Callithrix jacchus: one gene and its partners. The main gene of each other region encodes a partner of the protein of the gene in region 5 in a complex. Links are inferred from orthologs where the notes say so. Each region holds a gene or a part of one and is shown on either strand. Other genes may lie near its edges. The genes, in order: TAF5, TAF11, TAF6, TAF7, TAF10, TAF3 and TAF4.

Region 1 (3,981 bases), on a different chromosome or scaffold from region 5:
AATTACAGGCGTGAACCACTGTGCCCAGCCACACTCACACACATTTCTATTTATGGATTACAATGAAATATGAATACAATGCTATGTATTCAAGCAATGCTGCAAAGATTAGGCCTCATACAGATGAATTTGGCTAAAGGCTCTGCACTGGAGAATTCAATAAACATTTATTGTTAACTCAGGATCAACTGTGAGAACTTATACTGTATATGAGTTTTACTGCATGGACTTTGTGACAACATTTGCTGGGAGAAAGCAGGGGCTAAGGTATTAGGGACAGATACAGAGGCATAAACTTATCAATACCAAATGTTTCACATATACGTATTATAATAGCCTCATAACCACTCATTTAATAGAGAAAATTCAACATGAGAGCCTCCTGACAATATTAATGTAAAAAAAAGAATTTTTTTTTTTTTTTTTTTGAGACCATCTCACTCTATCACCCAGGCTGGAGTGCAGTGGCACGATCTTGGCTCACTGCAACCTCCACCTCCCAGGTTCAAGCAATTCTCCTGCCTCAGCCTCCTGAGCAGCTGGGACCATACCTGGCTAATTTTTGTATTTTTAGTACAAAGGAGGTTGACCAGGAGCGGTGGCTCATGCCTGTAATCTCAACACTTTGGGAGGTCAGGAAGTTACCCGAGGTCAGGAGCTCGAGACCAGCCTGACCAATATGGAGAAACCCTGTATCTACTGAAAAAACAAAAATTAGCAGGGCATGGTAAGGCATGCCTGTAATCCAAACTACTCGGGAGGCCAAGGCAGAAGAATCACTTGCAGTGAGCTGAGATGGCACCACTGCACTCCAGCCTGGGCAAGAAGAGTGAAACTCCACCTAAAAAAAAAAAAAAAAAAAAGGCCTGGCGCGGTGGCTCACACTTGTAATCTTACCACTTTGGGAGGCCGAGGCGGGTGGATCATGAGGTCAAGAGATCGAGACGATCCTGACCAACATAGTGAAACCCCTTCTCTACTAAAAATACAAAAATTGCCAAGGCGGGTGGATCACGAGGTCAAGAGATCGAGACCATCTTGGTCAATATGGTGACACCCCGTCTCTACTAAAAATACAAAAAATTAGCTGGGCATGGTGGCGCGTGCCTGTGATCCCAGCTACTCAGGAGGCTGAGGCAGAATTGCCTAAACCCAGGAGGTGGAGGTTGCAGTGAGCCGAGATCGCGCCATTGCACTCCAGCCTGGGTAACAAGAACGAAACTCCGTCTCAAAAAAAATTAAAAATTACGTGTAATGGGATGCCTGAACACATGATTCTCAAGCTGCCGTATGTCAATACTCCTTAGAAGCACTTATTCAAAAGTGCAGATTCCCATATTCCACCTCTAGAGGATCTGATTCACTAAGTCTGAAGTGATGCCCATGAGCCTGCATCCTCCAAAGACTTAACACTGGTGGTACTACCCATATGTATTTTTAATATTCCAACTTTTAGCTGACAATCGGGGGCACATGATGTGCAGGACTGGTACAAGGGTATATTGCATGGTGGCCAGGCATGTTGGCTCACTCCTGTAATCCCAGCACTCAGGGAGGTCAAGTCCGGTGGGTCACTAGAGGTCGGGTGGTTGAGACCAGCCTGGCCAACATGGTGAAAGCCTGCCTCTACCAAAAATACAAAAATTCGCCAGCTGTGGTAGTAGGCGCCTGTAGTCCCAGCTACTGGGGAGGCTAAGGCAGGAGAATCGCTTGAACCCAGGAGGCGGAGGTTGCAGTAAGCCGAGACTGCACCACTGCACTCCAGCCTGGGCGAGAGCAAAACTCCGTCACAAACACACACAAAAAAAGAAACTATAAAGTATTTACTAACGTATCTTTTAAGAGGAAGTAAAGAAATAAAGAAAAATTAAAGTACGCTAATACGAAACTGTACAAACACTATGTTAGCGTCATGCGGACATGACTAAGGCTCAAAACCCCATATGAGAGGAAAGGAACCAAAAGCCTGAAGGTACCCGCCTCTCCGCGCCCACCTTCACACATCCCTCTGCTCAGCAGCTCTCCTCAGCCTCTCGCTGGAACTGACAGCTCGGAAGGGGGTTTGACTACGCAGCCGGCGCACTAGAGAAAGGGGCGGGCATGTGGCCCTAGAGGCGGGCCCAGGAAATTCAAAACAAGCCCGCAGAGGTGCAGGCCCGCCAGCCCCTGCCTTACCGGCATGCTCCCCTTCGCGGTGGCCGTGCCTGCCCGGGACCCCACGGCTCACCTTTACCCGGAGCCGCAGGACCTGAGGCTGAACCTGAGACGGCCGTGGCCCCCGAAGCGCCAGTACCCGGAGGGTCGGGGGCCGCAGGGCCAGGGGCCGAGGCGGTCACCCGGCTGAGAAGCGCGCTGGCCGCCTCAGCGCCGGCGCTGTCCACCTCTCCCGGGGCTCCGGAGCCCGCCACTGCCTCCTCCAGCAGTCGGGCCTCACGGCGCAGCGCCTCTTCGGCCTCGCGGAGATTGCTCTGCCGTAGGAACTGCAGCACCGCCAGTAGAGTCTGTCGGTCGTGAGGAGCGCCGGCCTCCGGAGCAGCGGCAGGCACCGGGGCCGCCCCCGCCGGGGCAGAGGCAGAGACAGCCACCGTGGGCTTGGGGGTCCCGCCATCACCGCCAGCGGACGACGACGCCGCAACGTTCCCGCCCCCGCCGTTGGGGCCGTTGTTGGTAGTGCCGCCGCTACCCTCGCCTGCGCTGTCCCCCGCCTGCGGAGGTAGCAGCGTTGGCGGTCCCTCAGGCTCTAGCTTAACCGCCACCTCCGTCTGCTCCTCCGCCAGCGCCGCCATCTTGCGGCTGAGCCACCTCGCGCCGTCAAGCGTGATTGCATTTTCGCCGCATGGAGGTCGGGGAGGAGCATTTCACGACAGCTCTAGTAGACCATTTACGGCAGTAGGAGGAGCGAAAAAAAAAGGCGAAACGGAATAGGAATGAGTAACTTTAGAAAACGAGCGATAGAAAGGCAGGAAGTGGGAGTTGATGACCGCCTATTACATTTGCCTGATAATTGCAATTTATTGCAGGCTAGCTTACGCCGTGGCTTACGTCTGTAATCCCAGACGTAACGTTTTACGTTATGTGATCTCCTTCAATTCAATCATTTTATGAGGTAATATTATTTTCACTGCACAGATGGCTTAGCCGAAACCAAGAGAGGTTAAATAATTTACCAGAGTCACACAAGAAGAAAGTCCAAATGTTAGCATTCGAATCCAGGTCTTTAACTTAAAAGCATATACCATTTGCCAGAAGGAGGCTTCTGAGATACTGGTAATGTTTTCTATGACCTGGATAGTGGTTAATTTTTTTTTTTTTTGGCCGTTTTTACTTTTGTAAAAATTAATCGAGCTGCATGCTTTATGAACTTTACACCGTATACATTACTTTTTTTTTTTTTTTTTTTTTTTTGAGATAGAGTCTCGCTCTGTCGCCCAGGCTGAAGTGCAGTGGCCTAATCTTGGCTCACTGCAACCTCCGCCTCCCGGGTTCAGGCAATTTTCCTGCCTCAGCCTCCCAAGTAGCAGGGATTACAGGTGCGGCCCACCATGTCCCACAAATTTATGTATTTTTAGTAAATGCAGCGTTTCGCCATGTTGACCAGGCTGGTCTCGAACTCCTGACCTCAGGTGATCCGCCCGCCTCAACCTCCCAAAGTGCTTAGATTGCAGGCGAAAGCCATATACATTACATTTCAATAAAAAGATTTTAAATAACAGAATTTTGTGGCTGTGAAATATGTACGTTATGTATTCATGCTATTACCTGTTATTATAAATAAGCTATTTTAATTGTATATTTAAAAATCGGCCAGGCGCGGTGGTTTACGTCTGTAATCCCAGCACTTTGGGAGGCCAAGGCGTGCGGATCACAAGGTCAGGATATCGAGGCCATCCTGGCCAACATGGTGAAACCCGGGAGGCGGAGATTGCAGTGAGCTGAGATCACGCCACTGCACTACAGCCTGGGCGACAGTGCGAGACTCTG
Region 2 (3,500 bases), on a different chromosome or scaffold from region 5:
GCACTTTGGGAGGCCGAGGTGTGTGGATCACGAGGACCAGAGATCGAGACCATCCTGGTCAACATGGTGAAACCCCCCCTCTACTAAAAATACAAAAAATTAGCTGGGCATGGTGGCACGTGCCTGTAATCCCAGCTACTCAGGAGGCTGAGGCAGGAGATTGCATGAACCCAGGAGGTGGAGGTTGTGGTGAGCCGAGATCACACCATTGCACTCCAGCCTGGGTAACGAGCAAAACTCCGTCTCAAAAAAAAAAAAAAAATCTACTTCTGTCACCCTGGGCTGAGGAAAGGAATCAGGGAGGGGATTTCCCAGATGGTTCCTTGCCATCTGTTATTGAAACTTGCAAGGAATAATGGTCACGTTCTCCTGAATACAGGGCTCCCCACTTGGTCACCCTCAAGTGCAAATAAGTACTTGTACAGGTGCTCTAATAAGTTCCTTTGTATAGATATTCTTAAAAATAAGATGACCACAGGTAGAATCCAGTATTTGTAACCAACACTACTCACCTTCTTCTACCACCTCCCCGACGAAAACCTTGGAAATGCCAGACATAGCAATAACAACATTCTGAGACACAGAGGTGCCAGTGATAGACTGGATCAGCTTGAAAGAAGGACAAACACTCGGTGATTATGATAGTCAAAGACTGGCTTTGAACACAGTACCAATTAATTCACAGAAAAGGGCAAGATAACTGAGGGACATTTTTTTCCCCACCTAAATAATTCACTGACTTGTCTAACACCTCACTTCAAATGCCAATAGACATGGCTCTTGAGTTTGGTTTTAAAGTATGACAGAAATGAAGTGTGGTGGGCCATCCTTACCCTTTTGATGGCTGCCTTAGGGAAAGCTGAGCGGCGATACATTTCATAACGGTTCAGCTGCTCTTCAGAAAAAGAAGAAACCAGGATTCTAGACAAAGATCCAGGTAACTAAGTTAACTTATAAGAATGAATACAAGATATTATTAAGTCAGTAAAACTCTCAGACAGATAAATTCTTACAGGGTCAATGGCATTAGGCTTGGTGCCTTGAAGAATGAAGATAAAACACTTCTACTCCTAAGGAACTTGAGGAAACATAAAATAAAAACTTTTTACCATTTAAGAAAAATGAAAACAACAACATTGGGTCACTGTATCATATGATACAGACTATGTTTTCAGCATTAGACTAAATCTCCATAACTCTACCTTACTGAATTTCATACTGATAGTAAAAATTTAATATACAAATTTATAATCAAACCAGTAGTTTTCAACATTAACAGATTTAGGGGAAATATCTGCAAAATATATGGAAACAGTTAATACCCCTAATGTATAATTAATTCTTTCAAATGAATAAAGGGGTCATATCAATTTATGAAAATGAACAAAGGATATGAACAGGCAATTTACAAAAATATCAATGGTCAACCAACATGGGGGAAACAAATTAACCTTTATTATTAACCAAGGAAATATTATTTTCATAGATAACATTTTTCACAAATCAGATCACTATTAAAAAAAGAATGCTATTAGAATATGGGGTACAAACCCATACATACTGGCAGAGAACTGGAACACCTTTTTGGAGAGAAATTTGGAAATACTTATGAAAAGCCTTTGAAAATGTTCACACTATTTGAACTAGCAATTACACCTCCTAGAGGTAATTGAAAGAAATGGACAAGTATGCAAACATGTCCAAAGATCCTCCTTGTAATGTCAAAAGAAAAAAAAAATCTAACCAGAACCACTACAGGGATTGGTTAAATTATAGTTCAACAACACAATGCGATACAATGTAGCCATTAAAATGATGATTTATGAGCATATTTACTGACAGGAAAATATTTAGCTATACATAGCAAACATCTAAAAAAACTTTGAAAAGGTCCATATATTATAGCCAACTATACATGCTTAGAGTAAACTCTGGGTGGTGAGTCTCTGGGTAATTTTTTCTATTTTTCTGTATTTTCTGAATTATTTGCAATGAGTCCATACTACTTTTACAATCAGAAAATATAATAAAGCGATTTCCATTTCTAAGAAAACTATGACCTGGATGTATAATTAGTGACATGGAAAATATTCACCATATCTAATGTGAAAAATAGGCTGTAAGAGTATTTGACATTTTTGAAAAAAAATTTATTTATAAATATATATGTATAGAAATTCTCTTGAAACTTTTAACATAAGCGGGATGTGATTTTTTTCTTTTATCTATCTATCCATCTATCTATCTATCTATCTATCCATCCATCTATCTAACTTTTAGAAAGAGTGTCTGGCTCTGTTGCCCAAGCCGGAGTGTAGTGGCACGATCTTGGCTCACTGCAACCTCTGCCTCCTGGATTCAAGTGATTCTACTGCCTCAGCCTACTGAATAACTAGGATTACAGGCACCCACAACTACGCTCAGCTAATTTTTTGAATTTGAGTTTCTTAAGACGGAGTCTCACTCTGTTGCCCAAGCTGGAGTGCAGTGGCACGATCTCTGCTCACAGCAACCACTCCCTCCCGGGTCCTGGTTCAAGCGATTCTCCTGCGTCAGCCTCCCAAGTGGTTGAGATTACAGGCATGTGCCACCTTGCCTGTCTAATTTTTCTATTTTTAGTAGAGACAGGGTTTCACCATGTTGGCCAGGCTGGTCTTGAATTCCTGACCTCAGGTGATCTGCCCGCCTTGGCCCCCCAAAGTTCTTGGATTATAGGCACAAGCCATGGTGCCTGGTCTAATTTTTTGTATTTTTTAGTAGAGATAGGGTTTCACCATGTTGGCCAGGCTGGTCTTGAACTCATGGCCTCAGGTGATCCACCCATCTCAGCCTTCAAAAGTGCTGGGATTAGAGGCATGAGCCACTACACTTGGCCTCTATTTAAAAAAAATTTTTTTTCAAAACAATTATGTCACAGCATAGAAAATATAAATACATAAAAAGAAGGGCAGGCATGGTAGCTCATGCCTGTAATCCCAGTACTTTGGGAGGCCAAGGGCGATCACCTGAGGTCATGAGTTCAAGATCAGCCTGGCCAACATAGTGAAACCCTGTCTCTACTAAAACTATAAAAACTAGCCTGGGCGTGGTGGTGCACCCCTGTAGTCCCAGCTAGTTGGGAGGCTAAGGCATGAGAATTGCTTAAACGCAGGAGGTGGAGACTGCAGTGAGCTAAGACTGTGTCATTGCACTCCAGCATGGGTGACACAGTGAGACTCTGTCTCAAAAAAAATAAAATAAAAACATAATATAACAAGACATGACATGACATACATAACATAAAACATAGTATAGAGATAGGGTTTCACTGTTGCCCACGCTGGTCTCAAACTTGGCCCTCAAGTGATCCTCCCACCGTGGCCTCCCAAAGTGTTGGGATTACAGGTGTGAGTCACCATGCATAGCCATAATGTACTAATCATTTCATTTTCTTTTAAGTTTTTAAAAGAAAAAAAAGGCCAAGAAAAATTTATTAAATTTGTGTGGTCAAGAGAGACCCT
Region 3 (4,067 bases), on a different chromosome or scaffold from region 5:
CTATCGCTACTAAAAATACAAAAATTAGATGGGTATGGTGGCGGACGCCTATAATTGCAGCTACTAGGGAGGTTGAGGCAGGAGAATCACTTGAACCCGAGAGGCAGAGGTTGCAGTGAGCAAAGATCATGTCACTGTACTCCAGCCTGGGTGACAGAGCAAGACTCCTTCTCAAAAAAAAAAAAAAGAAAAAAGAAAAAGAAGATAAAATCCTTTTAATGTCCTACAAAGCCCTTCAAAATTTGCCTTCTCCCATTACATCTCTGACTGCCTTTCCTTCCTGCTTCCACTTTGATCCAGACACATATTCCTTCAGGCTGCCCCTTCAACTTGCCAGGCATACTCTTGTCTAATAGCCTTTACTCCATTCCCTCTGCCTGGAATGTTCTTCCAGAATGCCTGATTGCCTGTCTGCCCTGACCACCCTATTTAACTCTGCACTCTGCCCTCAGAGTGGGAGCAGCCCACTTTTTCTTTTCTTTTTTTGAATGAATGCCACTTTTTCTTTTCTATAGCATTTAACATCTGGGTTGGGTGCAATGGCTCACGCCTGTAATCCCAGCACTTTGAAAGGCCAAGGCGGGTAGATCACAAGGTCAAGAGATTGACACCATCCTGGCCAACATGGTGAAACCCTGTCTCTACTAAAAATATGAAAATTAGCTGGGCGTGGTGGCATGTGCCTATAGTCCCAGCTACTTGGGAGGCTGAGGCAGGAGAATCACTTGAACCCAGGAGGCAGAGGTTGCAGTGAGCCACTGTACTCCAGCCTGGCAACAAAGTGAGACTCCATCTCAAAAAAACAAAAAAACCTTCTAATTCGTTGTATCGTTTCTTATTGTTTATTACCCCCACCACACACCATATAGACAGGGCTCTTTATTTGCTTTTTATTTTTTTGAGATGGAATTCACTCCTGTTGCCTAGGCTGGAGTGCAGTGGTGCGATCTTGGCTCACTGCAACCTCTGCCTTCCGGGTTCAAGCGATTCTCCTGCCTCAGCCTCCCAAGTGGCTGGTATTACAGGCATGTGCCAGCACAGCAGGCTAATTTTCCTATTTTCTTTTTTTTTTGAGACAGAGTCTTGCTCTGTCGCCAGGCGCCAGGTTGGAGTGCAGTGGCGCAATCTCGGCTCACTGCAACCTCTGCCTCGTGGGTTCAAGTGATTCTCCTGCCTCAGCCTCCCGAGTAGCTGGGATTACAGGCATGAGCCACCGTGCTCGGCCTAATTTTTGTATTTTTAGTATAGATGGGGTTTCGCCATGTTCCTCAGGCTGGTCTCGAACTCCTGACCTCTGGTGATCCGCCTGCCTCGGCCTCCCAAAGTGCTGGGATTACAGGCGTGAGCCATCATGCCCAGCTGACAGGGCACTTTATTATGTTCACTAATGTATTCCAGGATCCCAGCCTGGGACATCATAAATATTTGTTAAGTAGATGAATTAGTTGTAAGGTTTAGAGATGTTGGTACTCGGTAACTACTAGTTATTGCTGTTATTAAGAAAATATGTCACAGGTCCAAACTTCGAGCCTACACTGCAGTTAAAAGCAAAGTAGACCAGGTGCAGTGGCTCACGCCTGCAATTTGGGAGGCCGAGGTGGGAAGATCACCAGAGGTCAGGAGTTCAAGACCACCCTGGTCAACGTGGCAAGATCCCATTTTTTTGTAAAATCACAAAAATTAGCAGAACATGGGGGTGGCCACCTGTAGTCCCAGCTACTTGGGAGGCTGAGGTGGGAGAACCATTTGAACCCAGGAGGTAGAGGTTACAGTGAACCGAGATCATGTCACTGCACTCCAGCCTGGGCGCCTGAGGGAGACTCCAGTCTTAAAAAAACAACAAAATGGAGCCAAGCAAGGTAGCTCACTCCAGTAATCCCAGCACTTTGGGAGACAGAGGAAGGTGGATCACTTGAGGATGGGAGTTTGAAACAGCTTGCTTAACATAGTGAGACCCCCATCTCTGCAAAAAATTGAAAAATTAGCCTGGCATGGTGGACCTGTCATCCCAGCTACTTAAGAGGCTGAGGTGGGAGGATCACTTGAGCCTAGGAGTTCCATAGCAGCGTGGGCAACAGACAGAAACCCTGTCTCAAGGAAAAAAAAAAAAAAGTCAAGTGGCACACTGGAGCTGGACATTAGGAAGATTAACATCAATACTGTTCAGGAATAGTACAGGTGGTAGGGTGGGGCTGTGCTGGAAGGATGGGAAGAGGGAGGCCGAAGAAGAAACTGGTTCTTTTCAAACCATCCCTGGTCTCCTCCCCAACTTTTTAAAGTCTTATCTATAGGGAACACAATTATTCGAGACATACTCTGTGCCTGGCGCCGCGTTTATAAGAGGCGGTCGTGTCCCACTTCCCTGGCGAACTCTTACGAATCCTTCAATACCCGGCGGTACCCTCTGTCAGTAAAGGCTCATAAAACACGCTACAGTCACAGGATCTCCTCAGATCAGTGGAGGCGGCAGGAAGGCGTCCCAGGGGAGGATTAACTTGAGCGGGATCCCAGCAGAGAAGCAGGTCGAAAATCCCCGGGGAGCGCGAAAGGAGGCTCAGAGAGCCCACCTCATCTCCTGCAACATCTCTCCAATGCAGACACACACACGGGGTCCCCACGAGCACGGACACACAACCAACCGTCTTGTTTCTAGTCCCCACAAGGGACCTTCAAAGGGTCTCCTCCAGAGTACCACTCAGACCCGCCCCCGCCAGCCGAACGCTGGGAGCAGGAAAACTCTGGCCGCCGCCAAGACGCCGCTCACCCGGCGCTGGGCGCCATCTTGGCCCCGCCCCCTCCTAGGAGCAGGTCCTGGCAGAGCGGAAGTCCAAATCGCTACCGCTTCCCCGTGCCAGAATACGTTCTCTGGACTCACGGAATGAAATTATATTTTAAAATTTTGTTTAAACATCTACATATAAGAAGAATTCCGTCTTGGTTGAATTACTGCAAATTATTCCTTCACTACCCGGCTGCCAGGACCTTGAAGAGGCGCCACAAAACGGAGGCGGAGAAACTCAGAGCAATGAGGCCCCGCCCCCTACCGAGCTGATTCTGCTCGTGCGCCGACCTTGCCAGGCTGGATTTAAGGTTGCCGCCAGCCGCCTGGGCATTTAAAGGACCCACTGCCTTCCCGAAGTTGGTTTGAAAGCAAGCGATGGTTGTTTGTGGATGGCGCTTTGTCATGGGACCTATGTGGTTGGGAATATTGCTTTTCCTTTTGGCCGTGCACGGGGCTTGGGCTGGGAAGCCGAAGGAAGAGGACGATGACACAGAACGTTTGCCCAGCAAATGCGAAGGTATCTGAAGGGGGTAGCCCCTGTTGGCATCGCCCGGCCACACCTCCTTCTTCTAGGCCGGACCTCTTGGACTGTATTGGGTGGGTCACCTGAACTCCTTGAAAGCTTGAGGGAGGTTCTGGTGGAGCTTGGCTGAATTTGAATGGATGGGGTCAAGGAAGCAAACGTGTAGTGCCGCCCCAAAGCTATGGCACTGCACTTCCCAGGAGGCATTCAAAGAGAGCCTGCATTTTTTTGGTTGACTTGGACCCCCCCGCCCCCCCCCAATGGATTGTGGGAATTGTAGTTCAGGGACCATTGGCCCTGGACTGCCAACTTTAGAGCATCTTCAGTGCGTGTTTCCCGTCACCAGACCTTAATCTGCAGAGGCTGCAGGAGCTCTGTGAGGCTCAGGCCTTGTGGACATCTGCTGCCCCACCCTAGCATAGACGCTCCCAAATTACAGGCCCCACGACCCCTGACGGGGTTTGAGGGTGAGTAATTCTGCCCTTCAAGCTCAAAAACAACAGGAGGCCACACGACTAGGGGAGGTTCCCCATCCGGGTGAGACTTTGCAGACGGTGTGTACTATGTGGATTTTTCAGCAAGCAGCACTTTCCGTAGCTGCACTAGTGTGGGGCCCAGTTGAGAAAGGGGGCACTTCAGAGCTGGCCCTGATCCCCTAGTTTGCTGCCCTCCTGACTTCACGTTTCTTCCCTGGATTCTTGAGGGAAGAAACGTAAAGTCAGGAAAGGTGGTCATGATACTCTCATGACGTAGTCCTCATCT
Region 4 (4,247 bases), on a different chromosome or scaffold from region 5:
ATAAATAACCTCAGTTCTTAGAATATTAAATAATTGTAGGAACTCAATTGAAGAAAATTAGAAATAAAATCTTAATTCAAACCAATGGAATGGTTCATTGGACTGCACTTGATAACCACTGCTTTGTTTTCAACATTTTAAGCAGGTAGATTTAGTGCTTTTAAAAAAAAAAAAGCACAAAGGCCTTCATCTACAGAAATTATGGTAAAGAAAGCTCTGTATCTAATGTTTCCCAGCTTCAAGTAGATCAGACAGAATTGGAACCTTAATGTGATGCAAATTTGACAACTCCCAATTTCTTTATCCCTGCTACGTTCCTTTTTTTTTTTTTTTTTTTTTTTTTCATAAAATCCAACTGCTTCTACCTGCAGAACAGGATTAAATTGCTCAGTTACTAAACTCCACCACAAAAACACCTCCCAAGAGAATCTCACTCCCACCAACCATGAAAGAACAAGATACATTATAAGGTGAAAAACAGACGCTTTTATTTATTGTATTGAAAACTTTATAAAATAATTTGCAGTTCTACATATGGGAAACTGCTTTGAATAACTGGGAAAACAGCTATTGCATGGGAAAACATATACAAACCAGCTTCACTGTCTCTAGACTAAGTTTTTCTTATTGATCTCATGTCATCACAAAGCAGCAACACCAGCTTCTAGGAAAATGGATAAACAGCAAAGTCCTGCAGTGAAACTATAATTAAGGTTGAACCATACATTACACTAATACTGCAACTTTCCTACAATCATTTTTCTGCCTATATAATTTTTCTTATAGGATTAACAACTAGCAAAACAAGGTAAGTTTGCAGAAAAACAAAATTAAAAACAAAAGAATTCAACAGAACACCCAGCATTAGAGGGACTAGGAAGGGCAAGGTCTTAATATGCAGTACAAGTAATAAAGCTAAGAATTTTCTACTGCTGACCAGTCTGAAGACTGAAATTCAGTAGCAGAGTTCTTTTTACTTCTCTAGGAGTGATTCTAGCTCCTCTTGCAAAGAGCTGAGTTGCTCCTTTTCTCGATCTTCCTTTTGCTTGAGCTCATCCAGTACAGCCTGAAATCTGTTCTTGAGAGCCAGATTTTCCACTTTCATGATGAGATCCTCTTGTCGTTTTGCCCTGTCCTGGGTCTCTTGGAGCTTGCCTTTCATGTTGTCAATCTGCTTCTGAATTCCCATAACCAGCTGATTGGTTCCTTCATTCTTTTGGTGCTGTTCGTCTGATGCATTTAACTTCTCCTGTAGCTGTCTCTCCAGATCTTCCTCAGTGTCAATGATGTTTATATCTTCTTCATCTTGATGCTGGGTCTCATCTTCATCCTCACTGCTGCTGCTGAGGTCATTGAATATCTCTCGAAGCTCATCATGCTCTAATGAGTCATGGCCCTGCCTGTGACCAGACATTCCTGGAGAAGAGATATCCAGGCCTTGATTTTCTGTCTCCTTTGTTTCATCTTCAGCAATTATTTCCCACCGAGTACTAACAGCTTCAGCATCTGTACTCAGCAATCGTTTCACTTCTTTCTCCACATCTGGAGATTCAATATACTTCTTCTTTGCTGTCTTCCGGAACCTTCTCTTCCTGACATTCTTTAGAGGCAGAGTAATTCCGTGGTTCCAGATGAACTTTTTCTCTTTGTCCTTATCCTTTTTCTTGCTAGCTTTAGGATCAGCGCTAGCAACTGGCTCCTCCACTGGAGGATAGAGATCACCATCAACTGTGGCTACAAGCATCTGAGAGATATCAGCTGTCTTGTAAAAGGTTTTCTTATCAATGGTTTTCAAGCTTTCCATAACACAAGGTAGGTCAACCAATTTTGAGGCCAATGGAACACGGTCCACTCTGACAATTCCATGACGCCCATCAGGGTGTAACTCAATTGTCAGTCTGTCCTTGAGGTTGACATGACCAGACTGTACTGCCCTTCTCACAGTAGAGGCATATTCTGGAGGCAGACGTAAGATAAACTGGCTCTCCAGTTCGTGAGGAGCATCATCTTTGCTTTTACTCATCTTTATTTCTTTGTGACTCACTTCTCCAATAAATGCTGGTTACACTGAAAAGTTCCAGCTACTGCAACAGTTTAAAACACCAGTTTGCTATGAATTGAAATCGTTTAATTACAAGAAGTTCTCTGTAGATCAGCAGCTAAGCGTCTATTTTGCTTCAGTTTTAAGTCCAAGTCTTTTCTCTAAATATGCTGTGACTGAATACCAGTCGTTACTGACAACAATGGCTTATTCACAGATTTTTCATTAAATCAGATGCAATGCCAAGTCCCAACCTCTAGGTGCCGCTGCCGGACAACGCGGATAGAGCTAGCTAGCTACAGAGCAGGAAAGCAAATGGCGGCTCCCGCGGAACGGTTTTCGGCCCAGAAAGCCCAGCAGAGACACTCCCAAGTCACAGACTCTCCCGGAACAAAGACATTCAAAAAATCGGGGCGCAGTAAGCTCTCTTCGCCTCGGGTACTTACAATCCAGTGACGATTATAAGTTCAGTTTCACCCGGTTGGAGCGAACAGGAGGCCGAGCGGAGCAAAGCGGGAGCAGGCCGAGCGGAGCAAAGCGGGAGCAGGCCGAACGGAGCAAAGCGGAAGGAAGCCGAACGGAGCAAAGCGGGAGGGAGCCCAGCGTCTCCTTCTCGTTTCCTTTGTTCTTCCTGCTGGTTTGCAGAATGATCCACTACCGATTACTGATGAAAGGGCCCGGGACGGGCAGCGCGAAAGCCTGACGAGAGCGGCAGCCCGCAGCACAACAACCGTCAACTCGCTGACCCTCCGACTGAGTGCCCAACCCAGCGAAAAAGGAAGTGCTACGTCACGGCGCGGGGCGGGAGGCGGCTGTGAGTGACAGCCCGCCCGGGCGGAAGTGCGGAGCCCGGCGTGCGCCGGCGCAATAGCGCAATTACGGTGCCCAGCGTGAAGTTCGTCTTTTCGCGAGAAATGTTCTTCCAGGATGAAAATGGCAGGGTTTCGTAAGGGCTGTTGGTTTCAAAATATTTAAAGGTTGGAAGTTCCAAGAAAGATACAGATTCATCCCCCGCTAAGCCAGCACTTTTACGGGATCGATTTGGGGCTCGATGGCTTTTAGACTTCCGGGTGATCCCCGGAGATGGAGTCCTTGCTTCTGGAAACATCTCGGATGCTCCCTAGGGTCTTAACCAATCTGGTGTCAATACAAGAATGTGTAGCTGCTATGCAATGGATTTTAAAGTACCCGAATTAGTGGAGTGAGGACATGCAGCTCGCTATATAATTCTCTCTCTCTCTCTCTCTCTCTCTCTCTCTCTCTCTCTATATATATATATATATATATATATTTTTTTTTTTTTTTTTTTTTTTTGACACAGAATCTCACCCTGTCACCCAGGCTAGAGTGCAGTGGCGCGCGATATTGGCTCACTGCAACCTCCACCTCGGGAGTTCAAGCTGTTCGCCTGCCTCAGCCTCTAGAGTAGCTGGGATTACAGGCACGTGCCACTACGCCCGGCTAAGAGAAGGGGTTTCACCAGGTTGGCCTCCAACTCCAGACCTGAGGTGATCCGCCTGTCTTGGCCTTCCAAAGTGCTGGGATTATAGGTGTGAGCCACCGCGCCCAGCCCACAGTCTACATTGTTTTAATTCTGAGAATGCCTGTAGGGGAATCCTACCTCTGGATTTACTTTTGTTCTGGAATACTCCTGGGGAAACAAGGATGATTCCTTTTTATGTGCTTGATTTAGATGTAAATGTAAACAGTGAAGGAAGTGTTCTTCTGGAAGCACAGGTTCATTTTGGACAGAATTGTCTGATAGCTGAGCATCTTTTTAAAGTAGATATAATGGAAGTATTGTTTCCTGCCTCTCTTGTAGCTAATTTTAAATTACTCTGGAAATTTTTTTTTGCACTATCTCTGTTTTGCTGTTTTCTGCTTGTCTTTTCTATGGCTAGTCAGGTATTCTTCAATGCATGCTTTTAGTATTTTGGCATAACTGGATAATAGTACTTATTTCTATTTATTTTTAAAATAAGATCTGTTTGGTAGAGCATAATGGCCATTAATACTTAATTTCTATCCTCTAAAATATTAATTGCCCCTAAATTTAAGAGAATTCTCTCAAGATGTAATTAACAGTTCCAAAATTCACTTTATTGCCTTATGATCCAAAGCTCCGTGATAGTGATCTTTTTCCATCTTGGCCGTTGTGTCCCAGTTCATAGTATCAGAACTTGGGAGATACACAAAAAATATTTGC
Region 5 (3,273 bases):
AGTGGGCCTGGGCTCCTTCTGTATTTGTTCGGATATACAGTAATCCTGTCCCAAGAGCCAGTTGCTTCTTTCTACATGATAGACTCAAATTCTAAGGCTCAGTTTTTTCTTGTATTCACAGGTGGCATTGGAAGGCCTTCGGCCTACCATCCCACCAGGTATTTCCCCTCATGTGTGTAAGCTCATGAAGATCTGCATGAATGAAGACCCTGCAAAGCGACCCAAATTTGATATGATTGTGCCTATCCTGGAGAAGATGCAGGACAAGTAGGACTGGAAAGTCCTTGCCTAAACTCCAAAGGTGTCAGGACATGGTTGGGGGAGTGCACCACCCCAAAGCAGCAGGCCTCTGGTTGCCTCCCCTGCCTCTAGTCATGGTACTACCCCAGCCATGGGGTCCATCCCCTTCCCGAATCCCTACCACTGTGGCCCCAAAAGGGGTGGGCTCAGAGCTTTGTCACTTGCCACATGGTGTCTCCCAACATGGGAGGGATCAGCCCTGCCTGTCACAATAAAGTTTATTATGAAAACAGGCTGGTGTGGGGACATGGGGACAGACAAGCACATTTAGGTTGGGTGGCTCAGGTGAAGTAGTGCGGCTTCTTCACATTGATGCCATACTCGCTGAGGGCAGGGGTCAAGTCCTCCATGGTTAGAGTGTACTTGCGGTCCTGAGGAAAGAGTGAAGAGTACCAACTGAACACAGGACTCCTAGACTTCAATCCCAGATAGGTGACCCTGAGTAAGTCATATACCTCCCCTAGGATTCAGTTTCCCCAAGGGGGTGGCAGGATAAGCCTCCACTGTTGTGGAAGGTAATTACTGATTCATTGAGCCTCCCCTCACACCTTGCTTTTGCTCCGGGAGCTGCCGGAGGCTGTGCCCTTCATTTTGCAGTGCTGTAGGGCATCATTGGCAATATCTGAGATGAATTTCTGGGCAGCTAGGGAGATGAGCCGAATTCTAGAGAGAAAAAACTGAGATGAGAAGGAGATGAAAAACAAACTGCACAAGTACCCAAAACTAACCTGCCCTGGGTTTACTCACATGCGTGGGTCTGAAGCCTCAAAACCGGCACGGTTCAGGTAGTAACCAGTCACTGCATCTGGGATCTGAGAAATCAATTAAGAGAACTGTCAGCAGAGCGGGAGGAGGATGAGGGAAATGGATAGGCCTGGTAATCAGGAAGCTCAGTTTGTGGGGCAGAGGGCAAAAAAATCAGAAGAGCGACTAGGGAAGCAAACAGAAGACGCTGGAAAGCACGGAGATGTAGCTGAAAGTTGTGACGGCAGGCTAGTTAGCCTTGTTCGGGCGGGAAGCCCACCGTAGGCGTGTAATCCTCCAGCTGCATCAGGAAGTCCACCAGAGGCGTGCTGGATACCACGGGCTTCACGTCTCCGTTGGCCGCGCTGGGCAGTACGTAAACCCCGTTAGACATGGCCCCCTCCGGGGGCGCCGCGCCACCCGCCGACACCGGAGCTGGAGGAGAACCAGCAAAATGAGACACAGAGGTGGGAGGCGCAGGGCCCCAGCGAGGTCTGCCTATACCTTCTGCCCCCAACCGCCGCTGGGCCCAGTCCAAAGCGCTGCCCTCGCCCTCACCCGTCCTGGTCCTCACCTGCCCCGCGCCGCTCAGCTGGTTCCCCGGCCCGCGCCAAGGGTCCCGTGCTCCCAGCAGCTGCTCCAGCCCCAGGCCCCCCTGCTGTCCCCGCGGGGCTGGCCTTGTTCTCCGCGGCGGTGCTAGCTGGCAGCGCGGCGGGAGCCGACACCGGGGGCGCCGGGCCCGGGGCCGAGGCGGCAGAGGGTGGCGCCGCCTCGGGGTCCGCGCCAGAGCCGCTGCAGCTCATCGGGCCGGTGGGAGAGGCGGCGAACAGAGCCGCTTCCGCTTCCGCTCGCGCTGCGCACACCCTGGGGTGACGTCACGCGCCCACGACTCGCCCCGCCTGTCACTGTTAGCACTCTCCGGCCCGCTCCCCGCCTCCTCCGGTAGCGGGTCTGCGGGTTAGAGAAAATAGGCTGAAGGGAGGAGACCAAGCCTTGGCCAACTGCGCTTGCCGTCGCCATTCCGCCCTAGCCTGTGCCGTGCTCCGCGGCGATTCAGTCGAGACCGGAACCAGCGTTCATCTGGGACTCCTCTGACTCCTCTTTCAGCTCGTTCTGCCTGACGTTCAAGACCTTGCTTCGAGGTTTATGGCCCTACATCCCTCGACTACGGATTGCCTGCCTGTCTGCATCCTTTCAAGTTCCCTTATTCAGCCTTTTAAGGGTTCGTAGTGGATTTGGAAAGCCCCCTTCTCCACCAACTGCCCCGAGAGGTGGGGGCAGCAGTGGGCCGGCACACAGTGCTGCTGTAGGAGGAGGAGGGGTTTCAGCCTGAGTCAACAGCATACGCAAAAATCACAGCGAGTGAAAGACGTGGGGTTTTCAATGTAGCAGACATTTAATTCTTATTTGCCAACTCCTGAGCTAGGGTCTGGGGATTACAGTTAAATAGGACGTGATTCTAGTCCTCTAGGCACCAGCGGTCTTGGAAAGGAAGCCAAACAAGTAAACTGGCCATTTCAATACTATGTGGATGTTACAATGCTAGAGGTAGGCACAGGGGGTGCAGTGCAAGGGAGGAAGGGCGTTAACATCTGCTACCTACTCCCAGGTCCCAAGCATTCGTATCAACGTTATTTCACTTTATTTCCTCGTTATTATGAAAGGCAGGTATTGATATTCCCACTTAACAGACGAGGAAACAGCTTCAGGGTGTTAAACTTACTTGACCCAGTCGGTCTCCTAGTCCATTTCAGAACCAAGATTCAAAGAGGTTTTGTTTAGAAAATCTAGGGGTTTTTTTACGCATACCAAAATAAAGTAGCCTCAGGGAATCAAAGCATTCATGACAGAAGGTGACTTCTGAGCTGAGTCTTGCAAGAATTCTGGAAATTAACGAGGCAATTTTATCAAGGGTGGTGGTGTTAAGGGGACGGAGCAGCTTGAGCAAGAGTGAGAGTTCTAGGAGTTTGGGGAGGGAGGAGGAAAAATGATTTGTTACTTAGGAACAAATAGCAAGGAAGGTTTGTGAACTATGATTGGAAAAATAAAAAAGCCTGAACTCTATCCAGTAATCCTTGAAGGGTTTTCATCAAGTGGCCTGATGGGATTTGCATTTTACTCTGGAAGATGGTTTGGGGTTGGCAGGAAGAACACTTTTTTGTTGTTGTTTTTTGTTTGTTTGTTTTTCCAGGAGAACATGGCCCTAAAAAATGTAGTAGTAGTGGGGAT
Region 6 (4,028 bases), on a different chromosome or scaffold from region 5:
TGCTGATAACTTGGGGACAGAGTGTCCATGAAGTAAATACGGGCACCTTGCCATATAGTACCTTGCTTCTCTGCAGATCGCCATTTAACTGAAGAACCATAATTTCACTCCTACTGCGTTTCCCAGACTTTCGAAAATTTGAGTATCATGTTCAAAGTTCTGGAATAGTCCCTGGAGGAGGAACATAGAGCCACTGATAAACTCTTATACTAAATACACTGTGATAGGTACAGAAAGGCATATTTAAGAAACCACATAGTTCAGCCACTACAATCGAGCTATCGGCAGGCTGAATCTAGACTTGCGGTGGGATCAGTTTGGTTTTTGAGATGTGTTCCCAATTCTGAATTTAAAAGTCAAGGTATTTATCCCCAAATCCCGATTTCTGGCAATATTTGGCTGGAGCTGGGAGGAGGCTCTGGGATAGGCAACCGTTCCCAGGACACTCAGCCTGAGATACGGGTTTGAGGCTCTGGTTTGACCTCTGGAGGTAGCCGAGGTCCCCATCCCCCTACAGGCCACAGCCGCGATACGCAAATCGCACACTACAGCCCACAGGGAGCTCACCTGGTTTGAAAAAAAAAAACGTTTTATTGCAACCATGGCTGGGATTAGAATGACATGAGTGAGGCAGGAGTTTATGGCATGGGTTTGGATTTTTAAAAAAACTATTAAAATATTATCCATCTTGATGACTGAGTTTTCTGGGGGGCCCATTAATTTGGCACAGAGGCCTCCTCCTAGTCCCCGCCCTACTGCGAAGGGCTTTAAAGGGCATGCGGAACAGCTTGGGCTTTATTTAATCTGTGCAGTGGCAAGCAGCTCAGTACACAGATTTTTAGCAGAAGTAAGACCAGCGCAGGTCTGCGTTTGGCGAGCATCTTAAATTCCCACGCCCCAAACTTCTCTCTAGCACTTAACCCTCTAACATGACTAACGTTATTAATGCTAACTCTCTAACATGTCAATGTCGTATCCCAGATCCCTCGTTTGCCCCTAAAACACGGGCGTTTTTGTCCCCGCTCTCCCCCCAGGTGAGCGCCCCTGGGAAGCACCCCAGCACCTGTCACCCATGGCGCCTCCTCCACCTGCGCTCCGCAATCCCGCTTCCGGCCGGCTTCCAGGCCTCAGAGACGATCCCGAGGCGTCGCTCCGCTCCCACGGGGCGGAGCTTTCTCATCGGCGCGCTCGGCATTCGGCTCGTGCTGCCTCGCTCCGGCGGCCGTCCAGCGAGAGGCGGAGCGAGTCCAAAATGGCGGCTCTCAGGCTGGCGCGCTCCGCGCTGCTGGGGCTTTGAGGTGGTCGCCGGGGGTCCGTGGGACCATTATCCCGCCGCCGAAGCCCTAGAGGATGAATCGGGGGCCCTGCTAAGGTCTGGCGGCGGGGCTGGAGAGCAGTGGCAGCAAGGGCTGCGGTGGCGTCCACGCAGCGGGATGTGCGAGAGTTACTCCAGGTCGTTGTTGAGGGTCTCGGTGGCGCAGATCTGCCAGGCGCTGGGCTGGGACTCGGTGCAGCTCAGCGCCTGCCACCTCCTCACGGACGTGCTGCAGCGCTATCTGCAGCAGCTGGGCCGGGGCTGCCATCGGTACTCTGAGCTCTGTGAGTACCGGGCTGGGTTCGGGAGGGCTGCCCCGGCAAGTCAAGGGTGACACCTCCGCTCTCCCTGCCCCTCCGCGTCTCCGGTGTGTGCGTCCCGCACCCTGCCTCGAGATCTGCTGTCTCCTCGGCCTCCCACGTCCCTGGGCTTCCACTGACCCTGCAAACTCTAGTCATCCCTGGGGTGCCTCTTCCTCATCCGCTAACTTCCCGCCACCAGCCCGGGAGCCGAGTCTTCGCTCCCAGCTCCACACCCTCCTGCAGCTCCTCCGCTCTGAAATGTGCCTGGATCTCTCTCATTGTCTCCTGTTTGCTGCGGGCAGATCCACCCCCAGCGTGCCTTACACCCTCTTTTACCTCGGTCCTTTTTCTCCCTTGCCCGCAAACTACTACAACTAGTTGTCACAGGCGCTCCGTCTACCGGCCGTTTCTTACAAGACTGGCCATTCCTGAGCTCCTAACTACACAGACTCGTTGACAGCTCTGCTCCGTTAGGGACACTGCCTCTTCTTTCTGTGTCTGTTCGTTTCGTGAACAACATCTCCACTTTCTGTTTTCCCAAGGCTGACTTTGTCAGTTTCGCTGATCAGATGCACTTTCACTTAACGTCTCAGTTACCGGTGAGATGTCAGTGGTTATCAAAGCGGGATAGAGGGACCATGGGCAGTTGGCGAGATTCTCCAGGTAATCTGGGCTACAGTACTACTTAAAACCTGTACAGTACAGTACGGGTTTTAAGTGAATGTCTGGTAATATCTATAGCTAGTGGTATTTAATAATTTAATGGAAGAAATGGTATTTTAATAGAAGCTACACGTTATCTTGTTGATGTGAAGCATTGCATGTGTGTTTGTTGAGGAGAGGAAACTACCACTCACTGAAGTTTCAAGTCATGATGTTTAAGGTGATAAGCTGGAGAACTGAATGAAGTGTTTCATAGGATACTTTGTTTTGTTAAAGTGGTTCCTAGACTGAAAAATGGAGACCCACAGACATGTTGTATCGCTTAGGCCCCGAGTTTCATTCCTGCTTCCACAGGGCTGCCAAAATAATCTGTCCACAACACAAATCTGATTTTGTCATTATTCTTAAAAACATTTTAACTGTATTCTATTGGTTACAGGCTAAAAATCTAAACTGTTAACAGCACACATTTCCCTTTGTGAGCTAGCATCTTGCTTATCTTTTGCCAGCCTGCCATGCTAATCTGGAGCCATGCTGAGCTACTTGCCTTTTCCAGAATGTTTTAGGCTATCCATTTCTACGTGCATGCTGTTTTCTACTTAGAGTGTCCTTTGCCCTGGCCCAGTAGTACTGCTTTTATTTTGAGATGTACTTATCACTTGCTCTAGGGACCTCATGTTATCTGCTTTCATAATTCTGTGCATATTTCTTTCATTTGTCATCTTGTTTTGTAATCACCTGTGTATGTCTCTTTCACCTCTCAGGAGAAAAATTGATTATATTTGTATTCTGTAACCTGTGGGGCCATTCTATAATAGCTACCTGAGAAATATTTGTTGAGTGAATGAATGAACTGATAAACCACTACCATAAGAGCCACATATTGACTTCACATTTTGAGTTCCAAAAATGTGTATGCTTTGAGTGCTTGATTTCACTGAGACTTCTATTCTTCTTCTTTTGAGACAGGATCTCACTCTGTCCCCCAGCGTGGAGTGCAGTGGTGCGATCTTAGCTCTCTATGGCCTCGAACTTCGGGGCTCAAGTGATCCTCCTGCCTCAGCCTTCCAAGTAGCTGGGACCACAGGGACATGCCTCCATGCCCAGCTAATTTTTTTATTTTTTGTAGATATGTGGTCTGGTTATATTGCCCAGGCTGGTGTCAAACTCCTCAGCTCAAGTGATCCTCCTGCCTCAGTGTGTCAAAGTGCTTGGATTACAGGCCTGAACCATGCCTAACTCACTGATACATATAAATTTGGAACTGCAAAGTAATATGCATGCATTTTTATCTTGAAAGTACATCAGCAGCTGACTACTCTCCTAGCTTTTGTTTCTTTTTCCTCTGGCCTGCTCTGCCATGGTCCTTGAGTGTACTGTTAACTGATAGGCTGGGCGAGGCGTAGTTCAGATTATGTTTGCTACCAAGTTCTCTACATAGGGACAGATGTTCTGTATCTTTAGACATTCAAAATGTCTCCTGAATACAGAGTTACCTTTCTTGCCTTTTATACAGAAGGGAGCTGGCACTCCATGTGACTAAGTATTCCATAGTCATCAAGGGGTCATTGCAGCTCTTCATTGTAAACCTTGTTCCTAATTACCTAATTTCCGTAGCCAGTTTCTTGGTTTCAGTGAGAATGAGATTGTCAACTTCATTATTCCCCATGATGATTTGGTGACTTTTTTTTGAATGCTAATTTTGGTATACTTATTAGATATTTTTAGATTCGTTTTTCTATACCAGC
Region 7 (3,500 bases), on a different chromosome or scaffold from region 5:
AAGACGGTCTCCACTCATCTTGTATTTCCTTATCACTGCCCTGAAATCAGCCTTTTCTTTCAGGAGGCTTGTCAGTTTAGAGGAAAACGGTTTTTAGAAGATGACTTTTGAGCACTAGGTGTGCTCAGTGCTATTAGGGCGTTACTGCTCCAGGGTCCTGCAGTGGACAAAGCTAGAAACTTATGGCAAGATCCATCATTATCCACGCCTGCCGACACAGGCTGAAATCCAGGCGTCTGCGTCAGCATTCCAATCCTGAGCCACCCCACAGGACTTGCTCTCCTTTATCCCTTCTGCCAGGTCACTGACTCCTTGACAGCAAACACCAAGGCTTCCAGCAGCCTTGATTAATTCTTTGACCTGTGTATGTCCCTAAGTGCCTCCCTTCTCACTGCAGTACTAGCCTCACGCCAGCCTGGGCATGCTGGCCACCTCTCGCTGCCTGAGCTTGGACTCTGGCTCAGGCCACAGTCACTCCCCAGGCCTGCTCTGCCTGCCTGATGCTTTTAGGGATGAAGTGTCTGGGAAAGAGAAAACTCACAAGAGTTCCTGAAACACACACACTCCCCGGCTGCTTGATCACAACAGAGACCATCCCGAGCCTCTCCCATTGCTCAGGTCCCGTAAATATCTCCCTGACTGACGGTGATGCTCAGACCGGCTGCTTTCCAGAAGGCCCGGGCAAAGCACAGCATTTCTTTTTATTTTCTTAGAAACAGGGTGTCACTGTCACCGAGGCTGCCGTACAGTGGTAAAATCATAGCTCACTGTAACACTGAACTCCTGGGCAGAAGTGATCCTCCCACCTCAGCCTCCCAAGTGCACACCAAGTCTGGCTAATTTTTTATTTTGTTTGTTGAATAGGGTTTCACTCTGTTGCCCAAGCTGGTCTCAAACTCCCGGGCTCAAGCGATCCTCCCACCTCAGCCTCCTGCAGTGCTGGGACCACAGGCGTGAGCCACTGCACCTGGCAGTACAGCATTCTGAAGGTTCTGAAGCTGAATGTGTGGAAAGTGAAGCATTCATTCTATGTGATGAAAACAATGAACTCAAAATACTATGTTATATTTAAAAATGAATTTTCTTTTAGTTCACATAAAAAACTCAGTTGATTTGCTTTCTGGCTGTGTATGAAGCAAAACCTTTGAGCCGACTCCACAGGAAAACACACTTGTGAGACGTGAGGTCACAGTGAGCGTGGAGCTCCCGGCTGCCAGAGCCATGTGGGAAAGACCCACGCACGGGAACGGAGCAGCACGGACTCTGGATTCTTCTCCATTCTGGCCACGCTCCTCCAGTGTACACAGGCCCATTCCTTACCGAAACGAACCTCCCCCAGGCTCCTTGAGTTTATTTTTCTGTGCAGCAGCTGCTTGTGCCGAGACAGCAGAAAGGGCTTTGGCTCCAGGTAACACGGCGGGTTTCACCACAGGGACTACAAAACAAACACACAGTGGAAACCACACGAGGCTTTCATTAGACAAACCATGTGCCTTACAGGCCTAAGGGCACAGCTACCACTCTCCTAATTAGCCACAATCGTTTCCAAAAACTTCACGTTAGTAACTCTAAATTACAGTACAAAGTATAAGCTGTCTCTCTCCAGCATTTATTCTCCTGTATTTCATCAGTTTTTAAAGTGCAGGAATAATTACGAATGAAGAAGCTCACTGTGGTAAACGTGTAAATAACATTTAAAATCACACTGACAGTGGGGATGGTTACACGACATGGCAAATAAAATTAATGCCACTGATCCAGACACTTAAAACAGCCAATTTTATGATATGTACATTTTACCACAATTAAAATAAAATAAATATAAGCGCAGTAACAGCTGGCTCTGGGGGCCACCCTTGGTCATGAGAGGCCCTCACCTGGCTGCAGCGGGCTCAGCTGGACCGGCTGAGGTGTAGTGAGCATGATCCGGTTGTGAGGCTGCCGCAGCGCGACCATGGGTGTCTGCGTCAAAGTCACCTGCGGGGGCCGGATCAAGGCTCCTGGCTTCGGAGGCTGCTGGATCACCTGAGGCAGAGCCAGCAGAGAACAGTGAGCATGCCCCAAGAGGTGGGGCCTACCCGGTCCCTAGCAGAAGGTTCCTCCCTTCCCTTCCTCTCCACCCTACACCCCCCAGCATGGTCTCGGCCAGATTAGGGCAGGACGTGGGCAAGGGGTGCCTGTGTGGGCATAGCAGAGCGAAGCAGGAGGAGCAGATCTGCTGCCTAGAAGCTGCCCCTGGGCTCTGGTCAGGTCCTGGAGGTGCCAGGCGACAAAGTGATGCCTGCTGAGCTCAGCAACCCAGGATGGAGTAGAGCACTGCCTCCCAAATATTAGCAGAAGTGACATTGTTGCCTGGTGGCTACAGGTCAAGTGGTTTTACCCATCTGAAATTTGTTTCTTTTTTTTTTTTTTTGAGACAGGATCTCCCTGTCTCCAGGCTGGAGTGCAGTGGCATGATCTCAGCTCACTGCAACCTCTGCCCCTTGGGCTCAAGCAATCCACCTCAGCTTCCTGAGCAGCTGGGACTGTAGGTGCCCATCACCACTGTCTGGCTAATTTTTGTATTCTTTGTAGAGATGGCGTTTTGCTATGTTGGCCAGGCTTGAACTCCTGGGCTCAAGTGATCCTCCCACCTTGACTTCCCAAAGTGCTGAATTACAGGCATGAGCCACCAAACGCAGCTCTCTTTCTGAATTTTCTATAAGGAAGCTGATGACTTTTCTACTGGAGTGGGGTTACAGTTCCTAAGTCCTGCCTGAACTTGGCCCTCAAGGGTCTGTCTCTACCCACTGCCTCCAGTATGGCCAGCTCTGTCTGCCCAGCTGCTGGGCCCCTCATGGCAGGGCCTGCCCACGTCTGCTGCCGTCCTATCTCTCATTCCTACCTCCAGCACAGGGCAGAGGTCCAAAACCCAGCAGCACTGACCACGGCCTGTGCTCTGGCCCGTCTCCAGGATGCTGGAACCCAGAGACACTTGTGTCCCTGTCAAAAGCCAATGCTCAAGCCCACAAGGCCTGGCCCCAAACCTCTGGGCCCAGATGTTTCTGAATTTAGTTTCATCTTTTGCAACGGTGCCCTGGCAGGTAAACTCGATGCTGCAGAATACGTGTGGGGGCCTGGGGAAGCAGCCTACAATGCAACCATGTCTTCAACAAAACCCAAACACCCACACTGGACAGGAAGAGCCTCAGGCAGTCAGGACAGCCCTGCGCATAGGAAGCCTGCCATCAAATGCTCAGGACAGGCTGTGTGAATAGGAAGCCTGCCATCAAATGCTCAGGACAGACTGTGTGAATAGGGAGCCTGCCATCAAATGCTCAGGACAGGCTGTGTGAATAGGGAACCTACCATCAAATGCTCAGGACAGGCCCTGCGGCATAGGGAGCCTGCCGTCAAATGCTCAGGACAGACTGTGTGAATAGGGAGCCTGCCATCAAATGCTCAGGACAGGCTGTGTGAATAGGGAACCTACCATCAAATGCTCAGGACAGGCCCTGCGG

The links.
Region 1: TAF10 (region 5) and TAF5 share a complex: the UniProt entries of both Homo sapiens proteins name them as parts of the TFIID basal transcription factor complex. The link is inferred for Callithrix jacchus from reciprocal best matches to the Homo sapiens genes TAF10 and TAF5.
Region 2: TAF10 (region 5) and TAF11 share a complex: the UniProt entries of both Homo sapiens proteins name them as parts of the TFIID basal transcription factor complex. The link is inferred for Callithrix jacchus from reciprocal best matches to the Homo sapiens genes TAF10 and TAF11.
Region 3: TAF10 (region 5) and TAF6 share a complex: the UniProt entries of both Homo sapiens proteins name them as parts of the TFIID basal transcription factor complex. The link is inferred for Callithrix jacchus from reciprocal best matches to the Homo sapiens genes TAF10 and TAF6.
Region 4: TAF10 (region 5) and TAF7 share a complex: the UniProt entries of both Homo sapiens proteins name them as parts of the TFIID basal transcription factor complex. The link is inferred for Callithrix jacchus from reciprocal best matches to the Homo sapiens genes TAF10 and TAF7.
Region 6: TAF10 (region 5) and TAF3 share a complex: the UniProt entries of both Homo sapiens proteins name them as parts of the TFIID basal transcription factor complex. The link is inferred for Callithrix jacchus from reciprocal best matches to the Homo sapiens genes TAF10 and TAF3.
Region 7: TAF10 (region 5) and TAF4 share a complex: the UniProt entries of both Homo sapiens proteins name them as parts of the TFIID basal transcription factor complex. The link is inferred for Callithrix jacchus from reciprocal best matches to the Homo sapiens genes TAF10 and TAF4.

The regions. Positions count from the first base shown.
Region 1 is NC_133513.1:96,354,618-96,358,598, reverse strand, and holds the start of TAF5 (transcription initiation factor TFIID subunit 5), read right to left. Parts: upstream 2,801-3,981; 5' UTR 2,787-2,800; coding exon 2,228-2,786; intron 1-2,227. UniProt on the Homo sapiens protein: The TFIID basal transcription factor complex plays a major role in the initiation of RNA polymerase II (Pol II)-dependent transcription.
Region 2 is NC_133505.1:43,122,966-43,126,465, forward strand, and holds part of TAF11 (transcription initiation factor TFIID subunit 11), read right to left. Parts: intron 922-3,500; coding exon 834-921; intron 610-833; coding exon 513-609; intron 1-512. UniProt on the Homo sapiens protein: The TFIID basal transcription factor complex plays a major role in the initiation of RNA polymerase II (Pol II)-dependent transcription.
Region 3 is NC_133503.1:13,465,479-13,469,545, reverse strand, and holds the start of TAF6 (transcription initiation factor TFIID subunit 6), read right to left. Parts: upstream 2,801-4,067; 5' UTR 2,316-2,800; intron 1-2,315. Other genes in the region: CNPY4 (protein canopy homolog 4), read left to right, coding at 3,267-3,299. UniProt on the Homo sapiens protein: The TFIID basal transcription factor complex plays a major role in the initiation of RNA polymerase II (Pol II)-dependent transcription.
Region 4 is NC_133503.1:39,749,875-39,754,121, forward strand, and holds TAF7 (transcription initiation factor TFIID subunit 7), read right to left. Parts: upstream 2,801-4,247; 5' UTR 2,024-2,800; coding exon 974-2,023; 3' UTR 467-973; downstream 1-466. UniProt on the Homo sapiens protein: The TFIID basal transcription factor complex plays a major role in the initiation of RNA polymerase II (Pol II)-dependent transcription.
Region 5 is NC_133511.1:72,318,326-72,321,598, forward strand, and holds TAF10 (transcription initiation factor TFIID subunit 10), read right to left. Parts: upstream 1,873-3,273; 5' UTR 1,848-1,872; coding exon 1,619-1,847; intron 1,480-1,618; coding exon 1,325-1,479; intron 1,113-1,324; coding exon 1,048-1,112; intron 964-1,047; coding exon 849-963; intron 672-848; coding exon 582-671; 3' UTR 501-581; downstream 1-500. Other genes in the region: scaffold protein ILK, read left to right, coding at 122-271. UniProt on the Homo sapiens protein: The TFIID basal transcription factor complex plays a major role in the initiation of RNA polymerase II (Pol II)-dependent transcription.
Region 6 is NC_133508.1:6,118,234-6,122,261, reverse strand, and holds the start of TAF3 (transcription initiation factor TFIID subunit 3), read left to right. Parts: upstream 1-1,228; 5' UTR 1,229-1,433; coding exon 1,434-1,599; intron 1,600-2,092; exon of another isoform or gene 2,093-2,186; coding exon of another isoform or gene 2,187-2,280; intron 2,281-4,028. UniProt on the Homo sapiens protein: The TFIID basal transcription factor complex plays a major role in the initiation of RNA polymerase II (Pol II)-dependent transcription.
Region 7 is NC_133506.1:57,566,970-57,570,469, forward strand, and holds part of TAF4 (transcription initiation factor TFIID subunit 4), read right to left. Parts: intron 2,026-3,500; coding exon 1,878-2,025; intron 1,436-1,877; coding exon 1,321-1,435; intron 1-1,320. UniProt on the Homo sapiens protein: The TFIID basal transcription factor complex plays a major role in the initiation of RNA polymerase II (Pol II)-dependent transcription.